Xenopus tropicalis: one gene and its partners. The protein of the gene in region 3 interacts with the protein of the main gene of each other region in a pairwise test. Links are inferred from orthologs where the notes say so. Each region holds a gene or a part of one and is shown on either strand. Other genes may lie near its edges. The genes, in order: pin4, eukaryotic translation initiation factor 4E type 2 and zbtb9.

Region 1 (11,911 bases), about 32 Mb from region 3:
TTGGAAGTCAGTACCTGGAAGGCTAAGGGAAGGAAACACATTTTTTTTTAGCTTGGCTTATGGTTCAGCTATGTTACAGTAGTTTTATTGTCTCATTATAATATATGCCTTTTTATATTAGAACATTGTGTAATCTAGTTTGATTGACTGATGCTTACGTAGGTCTGCCTTATTATAATAGTGAAATAAAAGGACATGAAGGGGGCGATTACCCTTTAGCTTATACAATGCTGTGAATGGTAGTAATCAAGTTAACTATGCAACTAGACTTTATGGCTTATAAATGGTTCCTATTCTATTCTCACTTTCTTCAAAATGCAAAGTAAAATGCCATCTGGTATGGTGACGGAATCTCCCACCACTGAAACTTCAAAGCAGGCTAAGTACAAGGCTAAATACTACTGCTATTATTACTTTACTCATATAGGCTAGCATAAGACAGTTTAAAGAGCCAAGGAGGCGAGGAAAGTTTGGCCTGTACAGCTTTTTATATCGATAGGCGAGAGGAGAAATCTCTGGCTTCTATACATTTATTGGGAAATTGCAAAACTGAGAGTGTGCCAAGGCCAGGGGACTGCTATAGATCACTTATCTGGCCAATAGAGGCCTAGTAGCTGTATTTAATTACATTCACTTCAGACACAGGTGCCTCATGGCTACTTCATACCTTTTCTTAGATCCACCAGTTCAGGTACCCCACAAGCTAAACACAGACCAATTCCAAAGGGGCTTCTCACAAAGCTGAGAATATATCACTATCCCATGGAATTGCAGTGTTCAGAGTCAATATAAAAACAGATTCTATACACTCACAGTTACAGTTCAATAACCATATAGTTCAACTAACTTGGGGTCGGTGCATTTTTGTAAGAAATGTATCACACCATGTATAAAAATCCAAGCAATAAAGGAGGAAGAGAGCACACAAGCCAGGAGTGTGGTGTACCAATGTACCACCAATGTGTTTATTGGGGAGTATTTAAATCCAAATTACCAGGCTTCCATCCCTTTTGTCAGCAATAACCTCATTGGAGGTACCTTGGGTACAACACAATCTTGGCTTGTGTGCTTTCTTCCAGTTTTACTGCTCGGATTTCACTTTTCAGTGTACTAACCTCTCTCCTTCTGAACTCTGAAGCACCAGCACCTCATCCTTTACATGGACTTCTGTCTGCTTCTACTGAAACCTCCATGTAGGAGACCTTCCTTTAGCTATTAATCTCATCACATACCACCTACCTACAAATAGGGCACATTGCAATAGGACTTCATACTACCATTTTCACTGGCATTTGGTATTTTTAATTCTCTACTTACACCAGAGGAGGGTGCCCAATTTAACCTAGCCAAGTGACTACCTTTTCTCCAAATAGGTGCTAAATAACTAAGAATTTCTGCAAAAATACACTACGGGTTATTTTACAATCCACAAACCCCATAACTGGAAACAACCACAAGTTGGTCCCACAATGCTGTCATTGGGGGGCAACCTTATATTGTAAACAGCTCCCCTTTACATATAGACTAACATTTTATTAGGCCTTGAAGTGACAAAATGTCAAAGTGAAAAGTTTGCCAAGGATTTCATTTTTTCTTTCCTCCTTTTCAATAGGTAGCATATGGACTTTGTATTGCACTGCATTATTGTTTTATGGTACATGGGCAAATACAAAGTTCAAGAAGAGACCTGACCAAGGTATGTGCAATAGTCCTGAAACAAAGTCACGGCTTTACTGCCAATGAATTGGATATTGCCATTAACTGAATGTTTTCATGGTGTACCTTAACTGCTCCAGCTTAAGTCTTAAACATTTATGTTGACTAACAAACCATATAGGGGCTGGAGTAACAAGCCTTCCTAACTTACTATTATTAATATGTCTATAACATACTAAAGGTCAGTCTAAAGGTGAGCAACCTCTTCAAAGGAGACCTGTCACCCAGATATAAAAAGCTGTATAATAAAAGTCTTTATAAGTAAACATAAAAATTCCAAAAATTTTTTTATTAAAACATCCATACCTATTATAAAGTATTTAAAAATCTCATCTGTAAATCATATATTGCTTGCCTCTCCTCTATCCCACAGACATAGAGGTGGAGAGGCCATTTGGCACTTCCTAGATGTCACTGCATGCCTCTCATTCCTCCTCATTAACTATTTTTGTGTACCCTGAGCATGGGCATCAAGTGCCAGATTCTGGAACACAAACAAGATTTTGGATGATGCAAACCTTGTCTTAATAAATGTTGTTCACAAAATACCTGCTTGCTTGTGATTATGAATTCCAAGACAACTAACATGAATAGAAAAGAATTTGAAATTATTTCTTAGGGTTACAGGTCCCCTTTAAGGACACTGCACTTGGCTGTTTTTTGGGCAAAGCAGCTTGTAGTTTAAAGGAGACATATCATATAAAAATCAAGAAAGTGCCAGTGAATTATACTCTAAATACAGAAGGATTGTGTTTAAAAAAAATGTGTTTTGGACTGATTTATTGAGAAATTCCACCAAAACCCTACTAGCCCCTCTCTGTTACACTTCATGAACTCTATGGATGTGCAGGGGGGGCTGGGGCACTCAGTACACTGCAATGTAGAATAGGACCCAATCAGCAGCTAGACTGACCTGATAGGGAACTGAAGTCTGTCTTTGCCTGTGTGAATGCAAGGTTGTGATTGGCTCTCCCCCTCCTGCTGCTGTGCTTCTGGCAGGGACTGCCCACCCTTCATTTGAAACAGGGACAGAGAACTGAGATGATCTATAAGGAGCTCCAATAAAGGGGCCATTTTTACAGATAGGATTCACTTTTAACCCAAAGTGAAACCAGCATCATATATTATTTATAATGGTCTACAGAATTAGTTTTTTTTCCCATTAATCCAATATGTCTCTTTTAGAGCCCTTAATACCCCTACAGACATGAATGTACTTTACATTAGTTGGATTTTCATCCCCTAAAGTTACTTATTACATGCTTTTGCAAAATTAATAAAGGTTACACACATTTCCACCGGTACTAATAGTACTTCCTATGACAGATTACTAAAAGATACACTATTTAAACAATCATTGGTATGTCATCCTTGCCACCAAGGATCCTAGTAGTGTAGTCCTATTGGTGTCCTTTATCCTATTGGTGTCCTACACCCTATTGGTATCCTATACTCTATTGGTATCCTATACTCTATTGGTGTCCTACACCCTATTGGTATCCTATACTCTATTGGTATCCTATACCCTATTGGTGTCCTACACCCTATTGGTATCCTATACTCTATTGGTATCCTATACCCTATTGGTGTCCTACACCCTATTGGTGTCCTACACCCTATTGGTATCCTATACTCTATTGGTGTCCTATACCCTATTGGTGTCCTACACCCTATTGGTATCCTATACTCTATTGGTGTCCTATACCCTATTGGTGTCCTACACCCTATTGGTATCCTATACTCTATTGGTGTCCTATACCCTATTGGTGTCCTACACCCTATTGGTATCCTATACCCTATTGGTGTCCTACACCCTATTGGTGTCCTACACCCTATTGGTGTCCTACACCCTATTGGTGTCCTACACCCTATTGGTATCCTATACTCTATTGGTATCCTATACCCTATTGGTGTCCTACACCCTATTGGTGTCCTACACCCTATTGGTATCCTATACTCTATTGGTGTCCTATACCCTATTGGTGTCCTACACCCTATTGGTATCCTATACCCTATTGGTGTCCTATACCCTATTGGTGTCCTACACCCTATTGGTATCCTATACTCTATTGGTGTCCTATACCCTATTGGTGTCCTACACCCTATTGGTATCCTACACCCTATTGGTGTCCTACACCCTATTGGTGTCCTATACCCTATTGGTGTCCTATACCCTATTGGTGTCCTACACCCTATTGGTGTCCTACACCCTATTGGTGTCCTACACCCTATTGGTATCCTATACCCTATTGGTATCCTATACCCTATTGGTGTCCTACACCCTATTGGTGTCCTATACTCTATTGGTGTCCTATACCCTATTGGTATCCTACACCCTATTGGTGTCCTACACCCTATTGGTATCCTATACTCTATTGGTATCCTATACCCTATTGGTGTCCTACACCCTATTGGTATCTTATACCCTATTGGTGTCCTACACCCTATTGACGTCCTATACCCTATTGGCGTCCTATACCCTATTGGCGTCCTATACCCTATTGGCGTCCTATACCCTATTGGCGTCCTACACCCTATTGGCGCCCTACACCCTATTGGCGTCCTACACCCTATTGGCGTCCTACACCCTATTGGCGCCCTATACCCTATTGGCGCCCTATACCCTATTGGTGTCCTATACTCTATTGGTGCCCTACACTCTATTGGTGTCCTATACCCTATTGGTATCCTATACCCTATTGGTATCCTATACCCTATTGGTGCCCTACACCCTATTGGTATCCTATACCCTATTGGTGTCCTATACCCTATTGGTATCCTATACTCTATTGGTGCCCTACACCCTATTGGTATCCTATACCCTATCGGTGTACTGCATTTTCCAACTATTTTTTTTATTCTCTAGTGGTAAAACCGTAACTAAGGCAACAATCAGTTCATCACATAAGAACCTTCAACTGCAAACTCGCCGCAGCAAATCTTTTTGTTTGGGACCTAGTTGTGCGTTCCAGGGATGGAAGCAGCGCCTCTCGATCCCGGAAGTGCAAACTCCAGACCCGGTGACGTCACACGTGCGACTGGCGCCCCGAATAGTCGCGGAGAGTGGAAGGAACCATGCCGCCAAAGGGGAAGGGAGGAAAGGGAGCTAAAGGTAATATGTGGAATATAAAAACCCTAGGTGCGTTGCTGGGAGCGCTCTGCAAACAGGGAGGCTACTGTCATGTTGTGCAAGTTCTTTCCTGGAAGCTGATTTACAGTTAAACATCTGCCTAATTATATTCACTGTTTGTTTCTGTAACGTGATTGAATGAATTCCATAGGCTATAGAAATCCCATAACATGCTGTTAGTGCAAAGGGAAATGGCAGCTAGCAACAGGCTAGAGTGTAATAAGGCTTGTCTTGTTACATATAAAATATTCTCCTCAAACATCTGCCGCAGGGCAAAGACACACGGAGCTGCTTAGTAGCAGCTACTAAATACCAGTAAATACCCTGCCATAGACAATACTAAGAATTGCCTCTGCTAAAACATGCGTAGAGACAATTATCATTAAATCATCAGCATTGTCTATTTTAGTAGCCGCTTCTAGTAGCTCCATGTGTCTTCACCCTAAGGGTCTTTTGGGGCTGGTCCTAAATTTTGAAGGATACCAGTGGCAGCATTACATTACTGTGTGCAATGTTTTGTTGCCATAGATACCTTGCGCTCCAGCATGTGCTTATATTATTGATTCTGTCTTGAGCTAATGTCTTGCTAGTAACAAGTAAACAGTATAAAGATAGCAATGTAACTTCCTAACGTTAGTAGTGCCATGATTATGCCATGATAATGATTTTTTTTAATCTGTGGTTTAGGTGGAGCAGCCAGCGGGGAAGCAGCTGATAAGAAAGCACAAACGCCCAAAGGGGGAAATGCTGTCAAGGTAAAGTATAATTTATTGTTTTATATATTTATTGGGGGGGGGGGGGGGCAGTAATTTTTTGGGGTATGTGACAGAGGTAGATTGCTAGCTGCTGCTTTTATTTGGAAGGTTATGACTGTTTCCAATGGTGGGATATAATAGACACATTTCTCAGCAGGATACAATACAATTCAACTCTAGCCAGCTACAAGTAACAGCTACTAACCTCACTGTGTGATGAAAACCTTATTGTAAGACCCATGTCTATTAAGTTTGTTGCTGGAGGATTCTGACTGGAATGTCCTCTGTCTAGAGACTTAAGGTGGCCATACACGAGCAGATCCGCTCGCTTGGCGATGTTGCCAAGCGAGCGGATCTTCCCCCGATATCCCCACCTACGGGTGGGCGATATCGGGGAGCATTTAGGTAAAAAAAAAATAATCCGATCGTTTGGCCCTGGGGCCAAACGATCGGATTATGTGGGCGGCAATGGGGCAGTCGGATCGGGGACCGCATCAACGAGCCGATGCGGTCCCCGATCCGACCGGATTTTCTAACCTGGCCGATCGAGATCTGGCCAATTTCAGGCCAGATATCGGTCGGCCAGGCCACTCTGCTCTCCCCATACACGGGCCGATTAGCTGCCGAATCGGTCCAAGGGACCTATATCGGCAGCTATAGTCGGCCCGTGTATGGGGACCTTAATAACCCTTTATCATGTGACTCTACATACGGCATTTATACTGCTGCTCTATTACATCTCCAGATTTAAACTATTGATCTAAGATTGTTTATTATGACTGTTATAATTGCTAATCTTTACACATGTAACATGCAATTGAAATACAGTAAACTCAAAAAAAAGGGTTCTGTTTGGAGCACAGGTAGTTAATGAATGGAGCTGGGCTACTTTGCTATGGTTTTCAGATCACTGCAGACACAAACAGGCTTTTAAATGTCCCTCATGGGAACTGTAACATAAACTAAAAATCCTAGTATCCTGCAACGGTCTCCCTGTGTTGTTGGAGGGGCTTTTATGTACAAAGTATCACTAGTGTGGATTAGTTTGACCTTTTCTGATTTCCCCTCTCGTCTAGGTGAGACACATTCTCTGTGAGAAACATGGCAAGGTAATGGAGGCAATGGAGAAGCTAAAGTCTGGCGTGCGCTTCAGTGAGGTGGCAACACAGTACAGCGAGGACAAGGCTAGGCAAGGGGTATGGCCTTATCTAAATAAGATAATATTCCATATTGCTAGTATGATCTTTCTATATATCTACAGCAGGTATCTTCCATAAAAACACTTAGATCCCCTTTAAGTGAACCTAAACATTACAATTGCTCAGAATCTTATTTACAGCACCTATGATTTTTTTTTTTTTTTATTTCAGCAATTTTTAAGATATTAGCAATTATATACTGCTAATGTTTGGCTCATCTTAGCGGCTGAGAAAGAGCTGCTGTGTCAGCAACTGCAGGCTAAACTGGATATTCCAGCAGTCACAAAGTCTTATGGAAACACCACTTTGCATATACTGTCAGGGTCGGACTGGGCCGCCGGGACGCGCCTGGCTGGGGGCACCTGCAGGGCCCCTGGGACAGGAGCCCCGGTGGGCCCTTCACCCCCCAGTCCGATCCTGTATACTGTTGATATCATAAAAAGCAGGGGAGTAGCTCGGAAACTATTTTATTCTAAGTGAGTTGAAAGGAGGAGGAAATCTTGGAGAATAAATCTTTCTACAGGAAGTAATGTTCCGCACATTCTTTATAATATATCCTACAGGATCCACAGCGCATTCCCTCTGGTTTTATGAGTCATAATGGGCTATCTTTAAAGGGCCAATATACTTCCTTTTTAATCCAATTCCTCCAATAGTGCTTCTCTGGTTTTATGAGTCCACAATGCATTATCCTTAACAGAGCAGTATACTTCCTTTTCAGCATGAGTGCAATGAATAATCTGGGCTTCATATAACTTTTTTATATTGTTTTAATCACAAAAAATGAGCTAAACAGGGAAATTGAAGCCACTCTGTTTGGGCCTCCAGGGGTAGATAATCAGAGTCCCTAAGTATGTGGTAACCTGGCAAGGGAGTATCCCAGTATATACACAGTGTTGGTTCTTTAGGACTGTGATTGGCTATTTAGTAGCCCCATTTAAACTACTAGTCTGCAGAAGGCTCTGCTTGGGGTGTGTATCTGGGCTTCCAAACTTGCCTCCAAGCCACAAATGTAAAAATGGCACCGACTTTGAGGCCACTGAAAACAAGATTAAAGGGGGTGGGGAGCAATACGTTCACTGTTCGGGGGTTACTGGTTTACGTTTTTATTGAGAGAAAAGCAGCTCATTAACATCTGCTTTATTTCACCACTTTTGCAGGGGGATCTGGGCTGGATGACAAGGGGCTCCATGGTGGGACCTTTCCAAGATGCTGCTTTTGCCCTTCCAGTCAGCACAATGGACAAACCTGTTTACACTGATCCTCCTGTGAAGACAAAGTTTGGATATCATATCATTATGGTGGAAGGAAGAAAATAAGCAAACCAAGCAGGACAGTGTCCCTCACTGCCAATTACCTACTACAGCAAATTGTGTAGGGGGTAAATTCAATATGATATTCTTGTACTTTTTGTAGCATTTCTTGCACTGATAGCAAGGAAAGATGACCCACAACTCTCCAGTTGGTGTTAAAATACGACTCCCAACATCTACCCAGATGGCAAGGGATACAGAGGAGGTATAATATCCCCCAAAAGAATGGTGGTCTGATTTAGCCACTTCTGTGTATAACAGAAAATGTCTAAAAACCGCCCACAGGCCAGATACTATGAGTGGCCATTCACAGTTTACTTTTCATTTGTTTCATTCTTGTGGTCCCAGTGCCCAAGTGACTTTAACTGCAAAAAGTGAAGATACGCTGCAGTTCCTCATCTCTTCCTCACCTACTGATGCACCAGGCACTGACAGATATAGTACATCAGCAAATTACATTTTCCAGTATGTCCAATTGACAAACTGACTAATATCCATGTTACAGAGATATTAGTTGGAATTATCCCCCCCCCCCAACATTCACAAAAACACTTTGTACGATTCTATCGGTATATATAGGATTAATTTATGGCTGTGAACCCACTTACTGTAATTTGCTACTACAATAAAACCCCATTCTTTGGTTATAGTCCAGATGTTATTTTTGGATTCCTGTTAAGGAACCTCCTCCGCACCAACTCATTGATTATGGAATATTTTTCGGTTTCTGTTCATTTATTATTTGTGATCCTCCCAGTCAGGTAAATAAATGTCTAAAATATGTTTTTTACATACCCATATAAATGTCATATTTGCACTTTCTACTGTCACATATTTGAAGAAGAGGAATGTGCCAAAGAAACTGCTCAAGATGGATCATTTATGCATTCAGACAAGCTATAGAAGGATTCTGAGAGGCACCTTCCCTGAAGTAAATGGCTAAACAGCAAATTATTCTAGCAGTAAGTTTCCCCCAAGCAGGTAGCAACATGAGCTTATAACACTAGTAGGTTTGCTATACAACTTATTTTACTTTCCTTTATTACACAGACAGTAAAAAAATCAGTGTCTATTCATTGATTTATTTTGTGCACAGGAAACACATGGTGCCAATGTAGTTTACAGCTGTAGAAGGTATTTATTAAACCATAAATAGTATTTTCCGCATACACAATTGAAAATATCAGCAGTTCTGTTATAGCCAAGAGGCACTTTAGTAGGGGTAGCAGATTATTTTTATTCCAATTGCTCTAATCCAGAAATGCCAAATGCTGATTGGTTAAGAGACTGGGAAATTCAGCCCTGTTGCTTTGCTACCCAAAGTTTCTGGGTATACATGTATGGGATCCCTATCCGGAAACCAGTTGTCCAGAAAGTTCCGAATTACAGAAAGGCCATCTCCCACAGACTCCATTATAAGCAAATAATTCTGATTTTTAAAAATGGTTTCCTTTTTCTCTGTAATAATAAAACAGTACCTTGTACTTGGTCCCAACTAAGATATAATTACCCCTTATTGGAGGCAAAACAAGCCTATTGAGTTTATTCAATATTTAAATCATTTTTAGCAGACTTACAGTGGTGTGAAAAACTATTTGCCCCCTTCCTGATTTCTTATTCTTTTGCATGTTTGTCACACTTAAATGTTTCTGCTCATCAAAAACCGTTAACTATTAGTCAAAGATAACATAATTGAACACAAAATGCAGTTTTTAAATGAAGGTTTACGTTAAGGGAGAAAAAAAACTCCAAATCTACATGGCCCTGTGTGAAAAAGTGATTGCCCCCCTTGTTAAAAAATAACTTAACTGTGGTTTATCACACCTGAGTTCAATTTCTGTAGTCACCCCCAGGCCTGATTACTGCCACACCTGTTTCAATCAAGAAATCACTTAAATAGGAGCTACCTGACACAGAGAAGTAGACCAAAAGCACCTCAAAAGCTAGACATCATGCCAAGATCCAAAGAAATTGAGGAACAAATGAGAACAAAAGTAATTGAGATCTATCAGTCTGGTAAAGGTTATAAAGCCATTTCTAAAGCTTTGGGACTCCAGCGAACCACAGTGAGAGCCATTATCCACAAATGGCAAAAACATGGAACAGTGGTGAACCTTCCCAGGAGTGGCCGGCCGACCAAAATTACCCCAAGAGCGCAGAGACAACTCATCCGAGAGGCCACAAAAGACCCCAGGACAACATCTAAAGAACTGCAGGCCTCACTTTCCTCAATTAAGGTCAGTGTTCACGACTCCACCATAAGAAAGAGACTGGGCAAAAACAGCCTGCATGGCAGATTTCCAAGGCGCAAACCACTTTTAAGCAAAAAGAACATTATGGCTCATCTCAATTTTGCTAAAAACATCTCAATGATTGCCAAGACTTTTGGGAAAATACCTTGTGGACCGACGAGACAAAAGTTGAACTTTTTGGAAGGTGCGTGTCCCGTTACATCTGGCGTAAAAGTAACACAGCATTTCAGAAAAAGAACATCATACCAACAGTAAAATATGGTGGCGGTAGTGTGATGGTCTGGGGTTGTTTTGCTGCTTCAGGACCTGGAAGGCTTGCTGTGATAGATGGAACCATGAATTCTACTGTCTACCAAAAAATCCTGAAGGAGAATGTCCGGCCATCTGTACGTCAACTCAAGCTGAAGCGATCTTGGGTGCTGCAGCAGGACAATGACCCAAAACACACCAGCAAATCCACCTCTGAATGGCTGAAGAAAAACAAAATGAAGACTTTGGAGTGGCCTAGTCAAAGTCCTGACCTGAATCCTATTGAGATGTTGTGGCATGACCTTAAAAAGGCGGTTCATGCTAGAAAACCCTCAAATAAAGCTGAATTACAACAATTCTGCAAAGATGAGTGGGCCAAAATTCCTCCAGAGCGCTGTAAAAGACTCGTTGCAAGTTATCGCAAACGCTTGATTGCAGTTATTGCTGCTAAGGGTGGCCCAACCAGTTATTAGGTTCAGGGGGCAATTACTTTTTCACACAGGGCCATGTAGGTTTGGATTTTTTTTCTCCCTAAATAATAAAAACCCTCATTTAAAAACTGCATTTTGTGTTTACTTGTGTTATCTTTGACTAATAGTTAAATGTGTTTGATGATCAGAAACATTTTGTGTGACAAACATGCAAAAGAATAAGAAATCAGGAAGGGGGCAAATAGTTTTTCACACCACTGTAAGTTATGGAGATCCAAATTATGAAAAAATCATTTATCCAGAATATCCTGGTCCCAAGCATTCTGGATAACAGGTCCCATACCTGTACATAAAAGCAGCATATGAGTAAAGAAATTATAATTAATTTGGGTTAAAGGAGAGAAAAAAAGGCAAAAGTTTATTGGGTACAACCTCTCCAAATGAACCCCAGTGTGTACACACACTTTTTTTAAACAATAATTACACATACCTATACTAACTTTAGATCTCAAGATAACTATAGCCTCCCTTGGCAGATTTAAATTGTTTTGGTTAGACTTTGGTTAGACTTTGCTACACATGCACAAGTAAGGCTGCACAAGGCATGTATGGAAAATGTAAGATGGAGGACATATTTTTTAAAAAATAAAAAAAGAGGTGTGATTGCATTATGCTTCTCAAAATATAGAAATGTGTAGTTTTGTTCTGATTTATTAAAATATCCCTAAAAACTAGTCCTGTCTATCTGTTCCACTTTCTGCTGGCTGCTTTCCTAGTATCTGTAGGGGGACCGGCAGCCCTCAGCACTTTGTACAGGTATGAGATCCAGTATCCAGAACATCCTAATCACAGGAAGCCCTTCTGCC
Region 2 (11,675 bases), on a different chromosome or scaffold from region 3:
CCAATCTAAATGTCCAGTCCATAGATTTCTTCATCTGGACGCCAGGTCCTTTAACCCTTTTACTGCCAGCTGTTTTGGTCAAAGCGGAACTTGTATTGCCAGACAGTTTTTGAACATTTTGCACTGTTTCACTTTAGGGGCCCTTCCTCGGGGGGACTTTTAGTTTACCCAGGAAAACAATATATCGTTTTTTTCAGAACAACCTAAGCTTTCAAAATATGGTAGAATTTTTGTGTAATTCCAATTCTGTAACAAGATATAGGCTTCTAAATGTCTAAAAATACAAAAAAAAAATCAAATTTTCCATAATATAATCACACATACTAGAAACAAAAATTATTTTATGCACGAATATACAACTGATTTGGAAAGTCCCATGTCTTCTGAATGTGCCAATACCAAATATATATAGTTTTATGGAGATTTCTCACTTGTATAGGTCAAAAACTCCCAGCAGTACACTACCAAATTTCCAAAGCACTGCTTCAGAAAGCTGCATACTTTAGATTTCAAGGCCAAAAATTCCACTAACAGAAGGTTTATCCCAGAAAATTTTACATTTTTGGAAAGAACAGATTCTGGGGAATACAGAATAGGCACAACTGTCTGTCTACTCCAAACTATCAAGTCTCAATGCTTTCCTAAAGTTATTGGTTTTTATCAAAATTTGTGATTTTTTTTTTAAAAATCGCTTCAAAGCTTCCAGTCTATGGTATCTTATCTCCTACAGGTCATAAAGTAACCAAATAAAACACCCTAAATATGAATGCCAGGGGTCCACTGAACAGTTTGATGCCCAATATGTATAGGTTTACTTAAGTATGTGGCATGTAGGGGCCCCAATGTGAACATACCCCATATGTACTGTCATTTCTGTCATTTCAGCTCCTGCAAAATCAACACATTTACATCATTATATGTGGGATAAAGCTAGTAAAAAGTACGCTCACCCCAGAAAGTCATATATTTTTGGAAAGTACACATTCCCCCGAATCTAAAATGGGTACCCATGTCTTTCTACTCCAAAGTACCAAGCCGCACAGCTTTTCTAAAGTTAGCAATTTTGATGACATTTCCAAAAATCCCCACAAAGCTTCCACTTTGCAGCATCTTATCTCCCACATAGCATTAGGTACCAAGATAAAACACCCTGAATTTGAACGCCAGGGGTCCACTGAATAGTTTGATGCCCAATATGTATAGGTTTACCTAAGTATGTGGCATGTAGGGGCCCCAATGTGAACATACCCCCATATGTACTGTCATTTCAGCTCCTGCAAAATCAACACATTTACATCATTATATGTGGGATAAAGTTACAAAAAAGTACGCTCACCCCAGAAAGTCATATATTTTTGGAAAGTACACATTCCCCCGAATCTAAAATGGGTACCCATTAGAGCTGGGCGGTATGACCAAAAATTTATATCACGGTATTTTTCAAAATTATATCGGTGTCACAGTATTTGACGGTATTTTTTTTTTTCCATGCATCATTAGGTGTTAACCCCATTTCCTAATAAATTAGAGAATAATTACTGCAGTATTGAAAATCAGAGTCAGGCAAGCGAAGGATCGGCAACAGAAAGTCGTAAGGTAAATCAGGCAGGCTTAGTTTCCCAGGCAAGGCCGCAGACAACATAGCACAGGAGGAGGCGTTTGATAGCTTTAAATACCCCCCACGAATGCGCAGAACCGGCGCCGTCAGCGCGTCACGGGCGTGCACGCTTTGACATGTACGTGCACTTTGACGCACGCGCGCAACGACCCGCGGACAACGGGGCGTGCACGCAAGGAAGTACCCTGACACCCCGGTATTGCGGTATCTGAAAAATGAATATAGTTTTAAAAAAAAAAACACCGGTATTCGGTATTAAACGGTATATCGCCCAGCCCTAGTACCCATGTCTTTCTACTCCAAAGCACCAAGCCGCACAGCTTTTCTAAAGTTAGCAATTTTGATGACATTGCCAAAAATCCCCTCAAAGCTTCCACTTTGCAGCATCTTATCTCCCACATAGCATTAGGTACCAAGATAAAACACCCTTAATTTGAACACCAGGGGTCCACTGAACAGTTTGATGCCCAATATGTATAGGTTTACCTAAGTATTTGGCATGTAGGGGCCCCAATGTGAACATACCCCCATATGTACTGTCATTTCTGTCATTTCAGCTCCTGCAAAATCAACACATTTACATCATTATATGTGGGATAAAGCTAGTAAAAAGTACGCTCACCCCAGAAAGTCATATATTTTTGGAAAGTACACATTCCCCCGAATCTAAAATGGGTACCCATGTCTTTCTACTCCAAAGTACCAAGCCGCACAGCTTTTCTAAAGTTAGCAATTTTGATGACATTTCCAAAAATCCCCTCAAAGCTTCCACTTTGCAGCATCTTATCTCCCACATAGCATTAGGTACCAAGATAAAACACCCTAAATATGAACGCCAGGGGTCCACTGAACAGTTTGATGCCCAATATGTATAGGTTTACCTAAGTATGTGGCATGTAGGGGCCCCAATGGGAACATACCCCCATATGATCTATCATTTCAGCTCCTGCAAAATCAACACATTTACATCCTTTATGTGGGATAATACTACAAAAAAAAGTACGCTCACCCCAGAAAGCCATATATTTTTGGAAAGTACACATCCCCCCGAATCTATGATGGGTAAACATTTCTTCTTGCTTCAAAGTACCAAGCTGTAAAGCATTCCTAAGTTTGTAGATTTATATGACATTTCGAAAATGTTGCAATTTGCCACATTTATCTCTCACAATTTCTTGATAAAGATCAGATAAAGACAAATCACCCCAAATAGGAACACCAGAGGTCTACTGAACAGTTTGATGCCCAATATTCATAGATATACCAAAGTCTGCGGTATGTACTGAACCCAAAATGAAAATAGCGCATAAGGATTTCTCGCCTGCCAACTCAGCTTTTGCACACAGAGCCCCCTGTCAGTGTATTATGTGCCAAAACGTCCCCTAACTATACAGAGACCCCCACAAAACCATATATTTTTGAAAAGTACACATTCTGACAAATCCAACAAGGGTAAAGAGTCCTTTCTACACCAAAGTACCAATCTGCAGAGCTTTCCTAAAGTTATTGGTTTTTATGACATTTCAGAAAATCGCCTAAAAATGTTGCAATTTGCCGCATTTATCTCACACAATTTCTTGCGTACAAAGGCAAGTCACCCCAAATAGGAACACCAGAGGTCTACTGAACAGTTTGATGCCCAATATTCATAGATATACCAAAGTCTGCGGTATGTACTGAACCCAAAATGAAAATAACGCATAAGGATTTCTCACCTGCCAGCTCAGCTTTTGCACACAGAGCCCCCTGTCAGTGTATTATGTGCCAAAACTTCCCCTAACTATACAGTGACCCCCACAAATACATATATTTTTGGAAAGTACACATTCTGACAAATCCAACAAGGGTAAAGAGTCCTTTCTACACCAAAGTACCAATCTGCAGAGCTTTCCTAAAGTTATTGGTTTTTATGACATTTCAGAAAATCGCCTAAAAATGTTGCAATTTGGCGCATTTATCTCACACAATTTCTTGCGTACAAAGGCAAGTCACCCCAAATAGGAACACCAGAGGTCTACTGAACAGTTTGATGCCCAATATTCATAGATATACCAAAGTCTGCGGTAAGTACTGACCCCAAAACAAAAATAGCGCATATGGATTTCTCGCCTGCCAACTCAGCTTTTGCACACAGAGACCCCTGACAGCGTATTATGTGCAGTAACCCCCCCTAACTATACAGAGACCCCCAGAAAACCATATATTTTTGGAAAGTACACATTCTGATGAATTCAAAATAGATAAAGTTATTTTTGTACACCAAAGTTACACCTGGCAAAGCTACGCTAAAAACAGATTAGGAACACTTATACAGGGATAAAATGCGATAAAACCACAAAAATTGTGCAAATCAGTGAAACAACAGCGTAATTAGTGGTCAGAATATCTGATCCAATAGTCACGCTGTCAAAATAAACAGTTTTTAGGTAAAAGAAACTAAAAACAAAGTGGTAAAATGAAAAAAACAAAAACAAAGTGTTTGTGTATACATGTGTAAAAGTTGTGTGATAGTGTGTAAGTGTGTATATGAGTGTAAATAAGTGTATAAAAGTGTGAAAAATAAAAAAAAAAAACTGCTAAAATGTGTGCTGTAAGTGTGTATAAATGTATGTAAGTGTGTAAATGAAAAAAATAAAAAAACTCCTTACCTGTCCTGAAGACCCGATTGCCTCCTCCTCAGTGGGCCGGCCGGCAGGGGGGAAGTAGGAAACGCGATGCGATCGCATCTGCTGATTCCTGGAGGGTCCTGCAAGCGATTGTCTCGCAGGACCCTCATGACAGCCCCCCTGGCAGATGCCGCCGCTGCAGAGAGCAGCGCTTAAATGCCAACGACGTATGGGATTTAGATGCAAAGGACAGACACACATTTAAGTGTGTGTCTGTCCTTTGCATCTAAATCATTTATTTACTACATTCAAGTGCACCCATAGAGCAAGCTATAGTGCGAGGTTGTTCTCAACCTTAACGACGTATGGGACACGTCATTGGCATTTAAGCCCTTTTACTGCCACGACGTCGTTGGCAGTAAAAGAGTTAAGAGCCTTACTGTGGCACTTAGGAGCCACCGTAGGGCACTGCTACCATGTTTTTTTTTTTTTTTTTTTCAATTATTTTTGAACAATTTTTGGCGGTTTCACAACAGTTCACACTTCCAATCATGTACTTTGAAGGATTAACACCTTCATCAATGAGCATCATGGTACCACTGTGATTGTATCATACCTTGTAACACCTGTCAGTTTCAGCTAACACCTAACTGAACAAGTTCAATGGAACCATTGTGATTGGATGTCTGTGACTCTACTACCATCAAGAGTTTAAATACCGGGGAATTCCCTACCAGTCATTTGAACTGAAGAAGCCACTCGGATGAGTGGTGAAATGTTTTCAAGATAAACTCAGAAAAGTCCAGTTGTTTTAGACTTAATTCTTCTAGATACTGTATATCATGACCTGGATGAATGAGAATCTTCATAGACATATTGACCCTCCCATATGTTTAATTGCTGGAGTATTTCCCTTCAATGCCAAAAAATAAAAATTGTTGGTGAACTTTGGATAAAATACTTTTAGCTCCTAGTTGTTGTCTGTGCTGCAACCAAATTCAATTGTAGAAATCCAAAAAGTAGGAAAAAATCTTAAGCAGGTTTGCTGCCTGCAAAACATTTATTTTGGGTAGTGTTACCCATAATAAATGTTTTGCAGCAAACCTGCTGAATTATTCTAGTCACATAAAATAAAAGTTCTGCATTATCAATAAGCTTTTACGTAGAGCTGTTGTATTTCCTATACCATTTAATAATTGCTCAAACTTATTTTTAAATCATATTGAATACAAATACGTCCTTGTACTTCCAGCTAATCTACCCAAAGCACACGGACCTAACAAGCCCTTATATAATAAAACGTCACAAAACAAACGGCGTCTGCGTAGTTTGCATTATATTTTTGTCCCGAGTGGTAACATCTTCCTTGAGACTAAAGTTCCGCATATGCACCGGAAATGGCAGGTTGTGTGCGGAAGAATGCTAGGGTGGGAGCGGAAGTGGTCAGGAGAGGAGCGGAGCGACAATGAACAACAAATTCGATGCGTGAGTGTGGAAAGACTGAGCGGAGTTATTGTACGGGTCTTCCTGACAGTCACCATATGGCCTGCTCGCCAACCCAGGCAGCATGCTGCCATTTATTAGTATAGGCGCTCTAATTGCGCTGTAGCTACTGGATTCATGCCCTGTGCCAATTACACAGCCATTGGAACAGTTTCTTGTAGCGTTCCATTAATCTGACACACCCATAATGCGCACTCGGTAGCGGGAAGGATGCGCTGCACATTTTGCAGTTTGTATGCAGCAAAGTGAATCAGCGCCGTGCCAGGTGCTTGTAGTGTTCGGTTATTAAAGGGATTTCATTATCATTCTGTTATTAAAGGCATATATGCTCCGGAATAATTATTGAATTGTTATGTGAGCTAATGTTTCATATTTAGTAATCGTGTAGCTTTGGGGGAAGGATGATTTATTGTATCCTTGTAGATGTGGAAATGCATTTCATGGTACTGCTAATTTTATCTGGGAAAAACAACAGCCTTGTCTTATGTTAGGTATCCTTGGGCTTGTCAGATGCTTTTGCTGGATGGAAAAGTTTCAGGCTGACCCATGCTTGAACGTTGAGACTACGGGAGGAGGCAGGGAGTCATTTTAAAGGGGACCTGTCACCCTAGGAAAAAAAATCCAAATTGTTTTGTATTGTGTTTGTCAAGCAAAATGAACTATACTTACACTATGTCCTTCAGTTTTGGAATTCACAAACAGGAAGGCTCCATTTTGTGGACAATGTTATTAGGGCAAGCTTTGTATTATTCCAAAATCTTGTTTTTGAGCCTGATGCCCATGCACTGGATACACATTAGGTGGTGAGGAGGGAGGGGGAAAGTGAGTGCTCAATGCAAAGTGAAAGTAATTCTCTGCCCCACCTCTATGCCTAAAGCATAAGGGTGGGGCAGTCAATATATCATTGACTGCTGAGATTTTTAAATGCCTTTATAATGCATATGGATGTGTTAATAAAAAAGGAATTTGGGTTTCATGTTTAATTTGAAAATTACTTTCATTATACAACTTTTTATGTCTGGGTGACAGGTCCCCTTTAAAAACTTTGCATTAAAAAACAAAGCAGACTAAGAACCAAGAATTCCACCCATTTTCCATAAACCTTAGATGACTTGAAATGCCATCTACAAGTCCAAGAAATTGCTTCCAGTCCTTAGTAGAAGGATGATGGTAGGAATTTCGCTGGATTTTAACCCGCTGATGCTGTTGTGAGGTGAAGACTGGACCTGCAGGTTTCATGCTGTACATGTGTTATAAATACCTGGCATGGTGTAATAGTGTGTGAGAATGAAAGATGGCACTGTCCCTTTGCTTTTTATAGTTGTGTTGATGTTTATACATAATAAATTGAAACTTTAGTTCCTTGCAGCAAATGTGCAGCCTTGAAGTCCAGAGAATCACATACATGTCAATGTAAATCACAGGGAGCAAAATCACATGGAACCGAAAATCCCAAAAAAGACTGAATCCCCAAAACAACTGCATTTGTATACATCTGTTTATACATCTGTTTATATTTGTGATATACAGGACACTTACACTTTGGCACAAGAGTTAGGAAGTAGGATTTCTGGAAACAAAATACCAACCTTCCAATATTTTTATCATTCTGCCCAATTGATAACATTTGCATCAGGATTAAATTTTTCCAGCCTGGCTGGTAAAATATCGACCAGGAGGCAACCCTAGTTATCAATGATAATGTCCCAGATTGCACTGCATTGTAATTAAAAGGTACCAGAAAATAAAATATATGTATGTTTACTGATTCACTAATCTCTGGGTTGTTTTAAATCATTTTGGGATTCACTTTTATATACTATTTATTTATTATTATTATTTTTTTTTTTTGCTCTTTTTTCCTGTAGCTTCATGGTTGGCTTCCAACATTTTCTCTAAACCTCTAAACGCATTGATTGTTTATTTTATTTTTCTTTTAAGTCTAAAAGATGACGACAGTGGGGATCATGATCAGAACGAGGAAAATGGCACACAGAAAGACAGTGAGAAGGAAAAAAATGAGAAGGAAAAAAACCAAGGCTCTTCTAGGAAAAAGGTGTGACCTAAAGAACTACAATTTACAAGTGAATATTTTAGGGCCGTGACCGATGGGGACATTAGTCGCCGGCGACTAAATCTCCCCATAATGCCATCCCACCGGCTAGATTGGCATACGCGGCAATTTGCCGAAGTTGCCTTGAGAGAAAATTTTGGCGCTGCATATGCCATCCCACCGGCGATTTACATTCTAGCCGGTGGGATGGCATTATGGGGAAATTAGTCGCGCGGCGACTAATCTCCCCGTCTGTCACAGCCTTGAAAGTGATACAGTGTGGCCATACAGAGACAGAGTGTCATCATACTGGTTAATTGGCTATATGTTAATGCAATTTAACCATGGGCTTAGGTGGCAAAATTGCAAAGATGTAACAGATCAGCCTGTGGGCTGATTGGTATCATGATGCCACTATGGCCTATGCATTACCAGGTTGGTCATTAATGGAATATGCACTTGGGTCATTGGTTTGCATTTTAATTGCTCTTAAAATTCTGATTTCATCTTCATATAAGTAACAACAATAGGCAAACACAATCTTGCATAAACACAGTCAGTTTTAAGTGAACCCTGTTGCTGGTGTTCAAAGGAACCAAACTGCCAGTAGTATGACATTCCTTGTTGCCAGGGGTATTTACAATTTGCAGTGGCTAGACTGGTTGAAGTTGTAACTACAGAAAATAAAGTACCTTTAGGACTTCCTGGGAACCAACTTGGTCCCACATTTTGTTGTGTTTTAGGTATATTAGAGACATGCACTAGGCACCAATACACCTATATACCAATATATCCTTAATCAGGGGGCATTTACACTTTGTTTTTTTTTGTTGTAAATTTAACATAGAAGAGCACAGTGATTTTGGACTAGCCATAGGTGAGTGCTTAGACCGATTTAGCAGTCCAGTTCCTCTGCGCTTACATGACAAAGCTGGTGACATAATTCTTGCCTTTAGAAAATAATAAGTTAAACGCTATTCAAAACAGGGTACATTTACCATGTAAATACATTCATGTTGTGTTTGTTCAGTTGCAGCAGAACATATATAATGGTTCCGACGTGTCTTGTTGGCAACTTTAATCCCTGTAATATTCTGTGTTTCTTAGAGTGTTGTGCCAGGTCCAGCCGAGCACCCCTTACAGTACAACTACACATTTTGGTACTCACGCAGAACTCCAGGAAGGCCAACCAGCTCCCAGAGCTATGAGCAGAACATTAAACAGATCGGTACCTTTGCTTCTGTGAGTGTACTGCCTCTAATAGCATGACAGTTTTGCATAGTCAGACATGTGAGCAAATGCAAACTATTATTTAAAGAAGCATTGAGAAAAAGGTATACAGATTATATCAGTTCATCCAAATGTCAAATGTGCAGGCTTATCTAATGTGTATGTTGTCATTTGTCTTCCTTTGTGTATTTATATGGGCAATGGCATGAGGAATTTAACACTGTTTTATCACTCTGAGGGATTGAGACAAAATACTGCAAATGTTTCCCATTTAAAGTGAATAGGAAAGGCCACCATCACATCTTGTTCTGCTTATTGACACATGTCTCAAAAACATGTGGCTCTGCTTTTTTTGCACAATACATGCCTACTGCTAATTAAGGTGAGGTGCCATTCTGATGTTTTCCATTCACTTTGAATATGTCCCTCGGAACAGTAAATCACCAAGAGTCCATGTAAAATGCTTATGTTATACAGCAGGGATCCCCAACCTTTTTTACCTGGGAGCAACATTTCAATAAAAAAAAAGCTGGGGAGCAACACAAGCACAAAAGCTTTCCTAGTAGGTAACCAATAAGGACTTAGATTGGTTAATTAGTAGCCCAATGTGTACTGGCAGACTACTAGAGGCTCTGTTTAGTAGTACACATGGGGGCTGATTTACTAACCCACGAACGGGTCGAAATGAGTCCGATTGCGTTTTTTTTTTGTAAAGATCGGTATTGTGTGATTTTTTCGTATTTTTTGCGATTTTTTCGGCGTTAAAACTTACGCGAAACTTCACACCTTTTAAGTTTTAACGCTACGAAAAAGGCGCAACTTTTCGCGTAAGTTTTAACGCTACGGAAAAATCGCAAGATTTTACGCAACTTTCGTAAAGGCTACGAAAAACTCGCGTTTTTACGCAAAAATCGTATTGGTAACGAAAAATTCGTAAAGACGCCGAAAAGATCGCAAAACATACGAAAAAGTCGCAAAATGTTCGTTTTCAAGTCGGAACTTTTCCAATTCGGGTCGGATTCGTGGGTTAGTAAATCAGCCCCATGGTCTTTATGCCTCCAAAACATGTCTACAAATCAGAAATTCAAAAATGGGCACCAACTCTGAGGCCACTGGGAGCAACATAGTGCTCATGAGCCACTGGTTGGGGATCACTGTTATACAGCATGATAGTATAATTTATCTTCACTTAATTTAAATCAGTAAACTTTGCTTACAGTTATATCAATACTCCACCTACTGCTGGTTTGTTGGGAAATCATATTAAAAGCAGGCCTAAGATTGTTTTTTATGCAATGAATTTAGGTAATTGGTGGCAAATTACTGTTCCACTATACTTTGCAAGAAACTGAAAAGCATTTGGAGATACTGCATGGGTTTAACTAAGCTAATGCTGTTTATGTACTTTGTCACAGGTGGAACAGTTTTGGAGGTTCTATAGTCACATGGTACGTCCTGGGGACCTGACTGGGCACAGTGACTTTCACCTCTTCAAGGAAGGGATTAAACCAATGTGGGAGGTAAGAATCAACAAGATAATAGGGCTTCTCAAGAAAATAGCAGTAAGCAAAAAATGAAAACTAAGGTCAGTGGTTGTTGGAATTTTTCAGAAGCCCCACTTATTGGTCCAACCTCTGGTCAGGACCCCCCTTAACTCCCAACAATGGTACAGATGTAGAAAAACCTGTGCCTCAACACAGTAAGTTTATGTGTGAACACCCCAGTATAATGGTAAGGGATTGAGAAGACTGTAATTGTGAAATGTCACAGGCTGCATGGGTACATCCCAGCATTATGTGAAACCTGTTTTGTAACACTACAGCTTTATAATGCAAGGATTATCAAGCCTGTATGGTTTTACCCCAGAATAATATCAGGACGTCTCCTTCGCTCCTCTCAGAGCCTCTGTTTTTTTACACCATCCACACCTACTGCGCGCTCTCATCTTAAACCTTTCTATCTTGCTGCTGCTTACCTCTGGAACACTATCCCTGAATCCCTCTGTAGGGAACACACACACTCTCTCTTTAAGAAAAAGCTCAGCTGTTACTTTCTGGAGCACTAAAACACTATTTTGCCTAGTCCTGCGCTTAAGGGCAAATGCCCATACCTGGTGCACTCTTACTTTCGAATTTGTGCCTGTATGTTACCCAACCACTTAGATTTTAAGCTCTACGGGGCAGGGACCTCCTTCCTACTGTGTCTGATACCAAATGGCACTTATAGCTTTATGGCTTTAAATATGAAACAGTAGAATGATATTACCTTTAATTAAGCCACTGCTTTGAGTTGCTTGCTTTTTTTAAAATCTCGTTGTTTACTATGTGACAATGACAATAAAGATATATTCTATTCTATTCCCTGTGCATTAATATATGTTTATTGTATTTATTTATTATAACACTTGTCCTCCCTGTGTGTAATTTTGTAAGATTGTACAGCACTGTGTACACTTGTGGCGCTTTATAAATAAAGTTATACATACAAACATATATACATACATGCAGGACTGCTTTTAAGTGCAGTCCTGTGTGAGACTCTTAGAATTAGATCAGGTAGCAGGCACCAGTGTTAAGCACAGCACATTTCTAAGGGCTAGTTCTACCCCTTCCAGTAGTTTGTGCCATCTCTTCTCCTCCCCAAACTGGAAGACAATGGTCTGACA
Region 3 (10,072 bases):
ACAGCCTATTCATTCAGAAATTTCTTTCTGTGTCTTACCCTCTTGCTTGAGGGTGTCAATGATGGCCTTCTAGACAGCAGTCAGGTCGGCAGTCTTACCCATGATTGCGGTTTTGAGTAATGAACCAGGCTGGGAGTTTTTAAAAGCCTCCGGAATCTTTTGCAGGTGTTTAGAGTTAATAAGTTGATTCAGATGATTAGGTTAATAGCTCGTTTAGAGAACCTTTTCATGATATGCTAATTTTTTGAGATAGGAATTTTGGGTTTTCATGAGCTGTATGCCACAATCATCAATATTAAAACAATAAAAGGCTTGAACTACTTCAGTTGTGTGTAATGAATCTAAAATATATGAAAGTCTAATGTTTATCAGTACATTACAGAAAATAATGAACTTTATCACAATATGCTAATTTTTTGAGAAGGACCTGTAAACAAGAACATCAGACTTTGATTGGTGGATATACTGGGGCTTGGGGTGGGGGTGTTGGAAATCTCAAGTAAGGGGTTATATATGGGGGGCAACAAGGTGTGAGCTTTGGAAGACTAATGTCCAATGTGTTTTTGTACGTATGTCCTCTCCGCCAGTGAGTTAAAATTTATCCAATTCCTGAATTCTTAGTCCAAGTGGTATTTCTGAAAGAGAAGATATTCTACCTTGGCACTTTGTCTGACAGTTTCTGCAGTCACCCCTTCCCCATATAAGACACATGCATGCAACTGAAACACCAGCTAGCCAGTTTGATTGCTATTAAACATTTAGATCTGGTACAACCCTGGCCCCCAAATATATTTCATTTAAGCACATGCTGCACACTGTAACGGAGAGTTAGCAATCTGCAGAGAAGACATGAATCAGTGCTAAGTCGTTTTTTATTTTTTTTATTCCAGAGAGAGTTTAAGATGCATATGTCTTCAATCAGACTAGAGGAACAGGATGATAGGCATCATTGGACTGATACTGCTATCAACCACTTAGGGGGGCATTTGACAACTGCTGACAAATGATTATCATAGTAGGACTGTGATTAATAAGGGTTACCCAATGAACCAGTTCTTCTATTTCTCTTACAAGAATATCCAGTCAATGGGCCTTCAGACAGCCTTTCAGCAGAGGTTAAAAGGAAAGTAGAACTACAGACAAGTGTCTGTCAATTTGTCCTAATACTAAGTGAGGCACAAATGCAGTAGCCTATGTATGATTAAGTGCCCCAAGGAACAGAATGTGTAAAGCTTTTTATTTTTTATCTTCCTGCAATTATGTCTATGTTTCCTTTATTCGGGGCTTTGAGTGCCTTATGTGGATTCCCAGATGGATTATGGCTTGCAGTATGCCATAGCCAGTGCCTTATACGTATAGCCATCGAAGCTATACATATATGTTCAGCACTATATACGCATATGCTGTAAACTTTGGACGCACCTATGGATAATCCCATAGACCTCCTAAACTTGTTTTCAATTTTGGCTGAAGGTGCAGTCTATTCTGGGAGAAATCATCCAATATTGTTGGTCACTGTAGGTCATACATAGACAAAAAGTTAAACTATTTGGTTAAAATAGGCTTACAATTTACAAAGAGACCAGTAACACCAGGAAATGAAGCTTCCATAACGCATTTAGAAATGTTATTATGTCATCTATAACATTATATGCATTATATAAAGGAAGCATTCTTTTATTTACCAATATGTTTAGTTTCTTACTGCAAGGATTTGAGAGTGGGGCCTTGTTAAGATTACAGATAAAACATGGCTGAACACAGCAGAGTTGATACTAAACACCTAAATAAAAAGCGGGACTTCTGGTTAAAAAAAAACTTTTTTTTTTTTACAGCCAAACAGAATATTGGCTAAAATAACCCAAAGCAGAATAGATAGTGTCTTTAACACTTCTATATGTGCTAAGGATGTCCTACAATAGAGATGTAAATATACATTCATATATTAATATTTCAGTTGGCTAAATACAAAGATACATTTTTTTTAAGTACTACAGATTTGCTTACTTTGGTTAGTCCTTTGGGAAAATGGGACTTGGCACAGATTTCTCTCTTTGCTATTTGCTGAAAACAAGGTTTTACTTTTTCAAATAACAGAGGGCACAAGCAGTGTTCATGCTAGCATTAAGAGCACCCTACGTATGCCTAGCCAGAAGGCACTAACATACTGGCATACTGCACTGATTCCCCAGGGACACAGTCTCAGCAACCTGAATGCAGAACTGCACTGGTATTTGTATTGCTAAAAGTATCTGTATCATACAATATCACCAATTATTATTGTGCTATATTATTAAAGATCACTGGTGGTGCTACTAAGGTCTGGTTTAGTTACCGACGCATAAACGGTTATGCCTAATCACTTATGTATGTGCTATTCGCTCTCATAGATTTACTCTACCAGCATTACTTTATAAGTTTAAAGTAAGGAACTACTGATCTTCCCACCAATAGAAATCAGTATGACTGTTCATCTGAAATCAGAGCTTGGCCTCACTTGCCAATACCTAGCACTACAGAGAAACACGCTAAAGGAGTTCTTTAGGTTCCTGACACAAACTATACTTGTTTACAGTAAGAAATATTGCTTTAATATCAGATTTAGGTAGTCCCCACAGAGACACTGTTCATCACAGTTATTGGTCTACTGTCTAGTAACAAGAAGCTTCTTCCCGTACCTACACCATAAAATGACTACTCCCCCACAAAGTGACAGAAACAAACATTTGTACTGTTTCAGACATTCAGTGCTTCTAGCTAACTATGATTCGTATGACAAGCCTTTATACATGTAAAGAATGATATACTCACAACATACATGATTGTAGATATGTAAAAGTTATTTACATACTAACTTCAGATGGTCATGCTTTTCTGCCTACATGTATCGTGCAAATGTCACTTAAACTGTAACCAATCAATGCCTGCGGCTACTGCAATAACCTTGACAAGGAGGAGCGAGCTAATATGGTCCATATATTTTCCTATGGAAAACGTAGGTTAGATGTGAAGGAGTCCATTAAAACAGCAATGCAACAGTGCAGTCCCATCAGTAAGCTGAGGTTTAACTTATGTCTGATAATTACCAACAGTGCCGAAATGCAGCTTCAGACAGTTTACCCAAAGACTCCTTTTTTTATACATAACAGTAACTTTGCTATCAATATAGCGGTGCTGGTGAATATATCACCCAGTTTTGGCAAACTGTTATCATCCAGGATCTGAACTGCTCAGACTCTGCTAGACAGTTCTCATGCATGGCCTTTGGGTTTTAAGAAGCAGCTCAAAATGTTGCAAAAGGAGAAATGTTGTGGAGTCAGAATTTCCTTGTAATAAAGGCTGAAAAAGTTAATAGGTTTTGGTGGGCAGATCACTAGCTACTGCATGCTCCTCCATATTCATTTCAATGCAGTAAAATCCAGCATATACTGTTTGCTTTAGATGACTTAGACTACAATTCATAAGGGTCCAAAAGAAATGAACGTTATTTATAGGTCCAACATGCCCCTGCCCACCTCTGTCCTTTACACACCTCCTTGTGTTTCTGGAAACAGCTCTGTACCCTAAATTTACGACCACAGTCTTCACATGAATACAGATTTCCTCCGTGAGTCTTCATGTGCTCAGTAAGATGGTGCTTAAGTTTGAACTTCTTGTTGCAGACAGAACAGCCAAAGGGTCTAAGACTAAAGGTTAGCATGATGTGCCGGTCCCGCTTGGGCTTCACTGCAAAGCGTTTGCCACACAAGCAACCAAACTTTTTCCCATCAGGAGCTGCAACAAGCTTAAGTGGAGCATGAATAGTTTGGGCTTGAAGGGCATGGGAAATTATCTCATTACCATGAAGGTCCACAGGTTTTGACAGAGTAAAGGACTGGGAATCTGACACATCATGTATTTTACGAGGCAAGCAGAGAGAAACATCAGAAGATGATGATGATGTAGGAGGAAGAACAAAGCTCAGTTCTGAGGGATAATCAGCCTGAATCTCTGTCATGCCAAATGTCTTTAAGTAACCACTATCTTGGTCTGGCCGCTCTTGTTTAATATAATAAACTTTTGGACTTGCTGGGGATGAGGAGGAAGGAAGGGCATAAGAGCAATTAGCTGAAACAGCCTCTTCCAAAAGATTGGCTCCATTCTGAGCATCGTCTTCTTCTTCCTCCTCCTCTTCTGACACACGTACCTTTATCACTTCTTCATCATCAGAGCAGCCAAGAGAAACTGGCAAAGAGACTGATGGAGGTGGGGGATCATCGCGTGGGGGCTGAAAACTGCTACTGGGTGACTGACTCTCACTTGCACGGCTAGACCAAGCCTGGGGATGATGCATTTCTCTCTCTTTTAGCAGCTCAGAACATCGATCTACAACCTGCCACATTTGCAAGCCACTGGCCACTAGAAGATGGGAAGGCAAAGTCTCCATTTCCAAGCATAGCCGACCAGAGTAAATGAGCTGCAAAAGGTTCTCAAAGGCATCAGGCTGGATGACATTTGGAAGAACTAAGCAACTTGTGTCATTTAGAAGAAGCTTGTCATGAAAATATGGAGAGGAAGCTGCTAAAACTGTTTTATGGGCTCGAAAAACTCTGCTTTGAACCTGAACTGACAAATCACAGAACTTTCCCTCCAATCGTTGTTTGTTCAAGGTGTCTAGTAGTGTAGAGCTGTAATGGGGGAAATCTAGCTGGATGCTCTCACTTCCAGGCATTGTGGCTACCTGGTAAGACAGAGAAAATGAAATGAAGTTAGCAAAAATTACAAGTGCTTCTCAACGGATAAAAGATGCTAAAACATGAAATCCAATACTCTCCATTCGGGCAGGGGGGAGGAATATATTTATATAATAGGAAGAGTCATTAGCAGACAGTAAATTGTGACTTATTAGGGGTCATACCCCAACCAGACACTAACCAGCTATTTCCCAACCTGCACCCAATACCAAGTCCTCTTCTACACAGTGATTTAATGTGGCCATACACGTGTAGATTTGTAAACGATTTTTTATTAATGTACAACCATGCTTATTATAAAACAATCGCATATGATCTGTCCATCAACGAAAAGGAACATTTCAAGTGATATTGTCTAGTTGAAGCCCAAACCGGAAAAGGATGTGACGTATATGCTAAAAGTTAAAAAAGAAAGGAAAAACTGTGGTAGCTGCTTGCTTGGTCCTGCAAACAATTTTGTAATGTCCTATGGACAATCTATGTTGTATTTTTTTCAGTTTTTGATTGTTGCTGTACATTATGTAAAAAAAAGTAAACAATATTTAATTTATATCTGTGAGATTCCTTTCTCTTTTGAGACTCCATAGATATTTACTGCTGTTTGATGACACTTGTCATCATTTTGTGATCTCAACACCGCCCCACACATGCACAGTTTCTAAATTGTTAAGGGATCGAAATCTGTCCATCCCATCAAATTTCACTGTTTAAAGACAAAAATGTATAAACCTGTCCGATCAATTCTCTGACCAATGTCGGAGGAAAGAACAGCAGATGTACGATTGTTGGGTGCACACCACCCATACGATAATTCAATAATTTGTCAGATCATACTGAAATTGTTATGTAAAAAAAGGCTGTATAGTATAAAGGGGTGCACAGTGACAAAATGCATGTACTTGATGAAGAACCAGTGGTGTAACTGTTAGCATTGCTTTCTTGGAGTGCTGGGGTAATAGGTTTGATTCCAGTGAGGGTACTATGAGTTTTAATGCGTTATCAATGATTGTGTTTCCTCCCACACTGAAAAAACATTTATCATAAATGGCTTCTGATCGAAAAATGATCGTGTGTGAATGCTATATGCACCTTAAGTTGTAAGCTCCGCTAGGGCAGGGACAGGTGTGGATAGTTATGGAATATGTTGGCGCTAAATAAAGAATAATTTGATATAATATATTATATATATACATACATGCACTGGGGGGCAGACTTCAAGTGGTAGTTTACCTTCACAAAACTGTGTTTCGTAAAGGTAGCCATACACTGTAAGGTCTGCTTGCTTGTCAATGTCATAAAGCAAGAGGATCTTTTCCCGATATGCCCACTTACTAGGGCCAAACAATCAAATTAAAATGGCAGGCATAGGTGCCACTGGTTCAGGTCAGATGCCGTTTGGGAAGGCCTGTCGATGGTGCCTATACACTGGCAAATAAGCTGCTGAATCGCTCTAAGGGACTGATATGGGCAGCTGAATCTGGCACATGTGGCCATCTTTACGTGTGGCTACCTTATTTTGGAACAGGATGCAAGAATTCCAAAATACAAAAAAATATTTTAAATATTTTAGAAGTAAATTGATACAGTGCAAATGGTTTCATACTGCTCAAGGGCACTACGTCGTAGTGTTCATGAAAGGCATGAAACATGCAGGGCAACTTTTTTATTTATTCATTTTTGGAGTCAATGCACCTATACAATACACTAAAATAACCCTCTGTTTAATACTGCAACTACTGCTTTTTCCCATTAAAAAATGAAACTATACAATTAATGCTACACCAGGGTTTTTTTCTTTTAGAGAATAAGACAATCTACTCAAACCCTGGCTGACAGAAAGACATCTTCCTGTCTGTGTGCACACAAGCATTTTCATGACAAGATCCATCCTGCCAGGCACTGACAGGCATGTAGTACCACACTAGGCTCCTGTCCCCTGGTGTAGATATCACATGGAGTAATATTGGTGTTTATAGTTATACTTTTCAGAATTAATAAACATTTTTGGAGAGCACAAGCCTAGCTAATATTATAATTGTACCTAAGTCTAATATGCAGGGTTGTCAATGATGCAACATCTTTAAACAACCAAGGAGGCTTCACCAGGGATATTTGTGTATATGCTGCAACCCAACAAGCTCTCTTGATAATCAGACTATAAATAAGATTTTTACAAGACACCCAAAAGCCTGGGCCACAACATTAGGGACTGTATACACTTTTACTTCTTTAAATAAATTACCAGTGCAGGGCTGCAAATGTATAACAGTTTTTCTGAGCAAGGTGCAGAGAAATAGTCCCTGCTATGTGCCCACAAGCCGTCTTTACTTTGGCATCACTGCACTTATGTAAAAGCTCAGTATATAGAGTGCTGGGCACCAGGTAGAACAGTGTGACTGTCTGCTGGACAATCCTCAGGCTCTCGTAAGCGCTCACCCTTCAAAAAAGGCATGTTTTCTGCACTTTGATCACCACATATTTTTTATCAGCCGAAGAAACATGTTTAAAATGCCCAAAGTCACTCACATACTAAAATATCTGCCTGAAATCACTGGTTTAAGCACCTGTCATGGCTACATACTGTCTCCCCTGAACACAATATCCCGTGTGAGGCTTTGTTTGGTCACAGCTAATGATGGATTTCATGTATCTGCATCAGAGAAACATTATAACATATAAAGGGCAGCCAATTCCATATCTGTTAGCAGCCATTTACATGGCAGGAGTGATGGTAGGAAAGTGATGCCCAGCACTGCCCCAGTTATCCCTCATTCCTTACTGGGCTATGTGTCCCATTATTATGTGTCCCCCTGCGAGCTTGTACCTTAGTCTCCCCTAGCGATCAGGCAGTGGGACAGGGCTGAGGGAGGACAAGGAGCAATAAGGCCCAAAATACAAGTACATATAACAAAATGCTATCCGATAACCTGTTCCCTTCCCAGCCAGGCCCACACACCCATTACCCAATCAATACAGCCTGTGGCCTTATGGTACATAGTTGCTACTGGTGTCCGTTACTGTAAATAGTGACTCTACCGCTGTAGTTCGGCTGTATGTGAAGGATGCTGGGAACTGTAGTCCCAAACTAGCTAGAAGGCCACAGACTAGACACAGGTTTGTGAGTTCTGATAAGTGCACTGCTCACAAAGGCGCTATAAACCCCACCCCTGAAACATACCGTATTACTTCCCTGCTCCCCTGAAGCTCCCTAAATACAGCAGCCCGTCACTGCACCAGCGGCAGGACAAACATAGCCAGGCCCGTGGAGGCCAGACGCGGGACAAACGTGTGTAACCCTGGGAAACCATCAAATTGGAGCCATGCAAAACGCGGTCAGGGACAAGTATAACCAACCCTGGGACTCCGTAGTCACATCTCTACGAGAGTAAGGAGGAGGGACAAGTAGGCGCTATCCCCGGGAAAACGAGCTAGGAAACATCCGGGCCTGTATCACATGGACGAACATTACCTTACCCCTTGTCTCAGAGCGCCGCTCACACCTGTAGTTACCCCTGGAGACCAGAAGGGGGATATATTGCGCTCTTTCCTTTAGGAACCTACCACAAGCACAAGTAGTATGAATGTGCTGTAATAAACCGTGGCTATGATACAAACTGCTCCATAGAGGGTTATAGCTGTGTGGTGTGCCAAGTGATCTGCCTCTCACAGCACTATGTTACTATTGCCTGCAAAGCTCCAGGCTGAGTAGCCTGCTTTCACATACATTATCCAATACAAATTACTAACCAGGTCAAAGAACTAATAAATGATTCGTTTTAGTGTGATGGACCAAAATAGGGAGCTGGAGCAAATAGAAGAAGTACAGATAAAAAGGAATATTTAAATGTGAAATTATGTGGTGATATGCATTCTCTGGTATATTTTAAGTTTATAACAGGCAGTGTCAGACTGACCCACCAGGATACCAGGGAAACTCCCGGTGGGCCCAGGGGTCAGTAGGCCCTCCTGCTCCAAACCATTTGGCCTGTTTCATGGTCATTCCCTATTTCTGAATGGGAACAAATACAAATAATAGATGGAAAAATAGATGCTAGCATGTAATAGGAGAATAATATTTTGGAGAGTGGGCCCATGTTCTAAGGTTTTCTGGTGGGCCCCTGGTATTCCAGTCCAACACTGATAACAGGTACAAGAGATCATTACACCAAACTGATTTATGCTTCCAAACAGTAGCGGAACTATACCTCCCCAGGCCCAGGTGCAGGGCATGCAGCAGGCCCCCCCTTCCCCCTTCTGGACACATTTTTGAGGCAAAGTTGCACTGGTACAACAATGCAAGCATCCACTGTCCAAAGTTCATATTTAATTATACCTACCAGTCCCAGACTGGCCCACCAGGATACCAGGGAAACTCCCTGTGGGCCCAGGTGTCAGTGGGCCCTCTTGCTTCTAACTATTTAGCCTATTTCTGGATGGGAACATGGAAGCTTGGTAAATGGATGAATAAACGTTAGTATGTAGAGAAAAGAGACTAGGATAATAAAGAGTTTGAAGGAGGAGAGGAGGAATTAAAGTTTTGGCAGTGTGCACCTGGCATCTCATTCTGACACTGATACTTAGCCCCTGCAATTACATATATATGATACTTCTTTGTTAAAAATATTTTTTTATTTACTGACACAACTATATCATATGACACAGTCAAGAAAAATGGTATGTGAGAAGAGACTTTTTTAATTATATACAGACAAATACTGGGAATATGTGACCTGAAAAGGTGGATCTGATCCTAAAGGGGATCTAAAGTCAAAAATAAAATCCCCTTTCAGGCTCCTTACCTCCAGAAACCTACCTCCAATATACTTTCATTACAAAATATCAATTCAGTTCAATTCTCCCTTCTCTTTTATTGTTCTGACAGTTGCGGATACAAATCTCTAGGCAGCATGGACCCGAGAAGAAAGTTACCCAAGACTAGTGCCTAGTGGAGAGATCCCTGCAGGAGTGCAGCTATATAGACAAGGTATAGGAGGCCAAGTGGGGCACTAACATATGAATTTCATTATAGTATTTAGATAGTTTACAGGGACCCTTAAATGATTTTCCTGTGGGGCTCAGTATCTTCCAGCTATGCCAAAGCCTCCCATAAGAGATGTTGTTAATAAAACTAAATCCCTTCCCCTACATAAGGGTATCAATATATCTTACTTTTCTGGGGCTGAGTGCCTTTTGGGGGAAACTAAACACAAAGCTGGCGTATCCCCTTTTTATGGTCCCCACCTATGGCTATTCACCCTGGAACCTTATACCTGAGCACCTGGGATGACTCCTTGCATATAAGGCCTGATCTGAGCTTAATTGCTATTGGTATATCAGTT

What was found.
Region 1: the proteins of zbtb9 (region 3) and pin4 interact in binary tests that used the Homo sapiens proteins (3 or more experiments, as listed by UniProt). The two-hybrid records come from large-scale screens. The link is inferred for Xenopus tropicalis from reciprocal best matches to the Homo sapiens genes ZBTB9 and PIN4.
Region 2: the proteins of zbtb9 (region 3) and eukaryotic translation initiation factor 4E type 2 interact in binary tests that used the Homo sapiens proteins (3 or more experiments, as listed by UniProt). The two-hybrid records come from large-scale screens. The link is inferred for Xenopus tropicalis from reciprocal best matches to the Homo sapiens genes ZBTB9 and EIF4E2.

What each region holds. Positions count from the first base shown.
Region 1 is NC_030684.2:39,711,759-39,723,669, forward strand, and holds pin4 (peptidyl-prolyl cis-trans isomerase NIMA-interacting 4), read left to right. Parts: upstream 1-4,591; 5' UTR 4,592-4,791; coding exon 4,792-4,828; intron 4,829-5,533; coding exon 5,534-5,601; intron 5,602-6,677; coding exon 6,678-6,797; intron 6,798-7,960; coding exon 7,961-8,119; 3' UTR 8,120-9,691; intron 9,692-11,304; 3' UTR 11,305-11,779; downstream 11,780-11,911.
Region 2 is NC_030681.2:101,901,794-101,913,468, reverse strand, and holds the start of eukaryotic translation initiation factor 4E type 2, read left to right. Parts: upstream 1-5,662; 5' UTR 5,663-5,689; coding exon 5,690-5,709; intron 5,710-7,668; coding exon 7,669-7,783; intron 7,784-8,887; coding exon 8,888-9,022; intron 9,023-10,425; coding exon 10,426-10,530; intron 10,531-11,675. UniProt on the Homo sapiens protein: Recognizes and binds the 7-methylguanosine-containing mRNA cap during an early step in the initiation. Acts as a repressor of translation initiation.
Region 3 is NC_030684.2:71,790,173-71,800,244, forward strand, and holds zbtb9 (zinc finger and BTB domain-containing protein 9), read right to left. Parts: upstream 8,268-10,072; 5' UTR 8,208-8,267; intron 8,185-8,207; exon of another isoform or gene 8,088-8,184; intron 8,082-8,087; exon of another isoform or gene 7,912-8,081; intron 4,721-7,911; 5' UTR 4,712-4,720; coding exon 3,485-4,711; 3' UTR 866-3,484; downstream 1-865. UniProt on the Homo sapiens protein: May be involved in transcriptional regulation.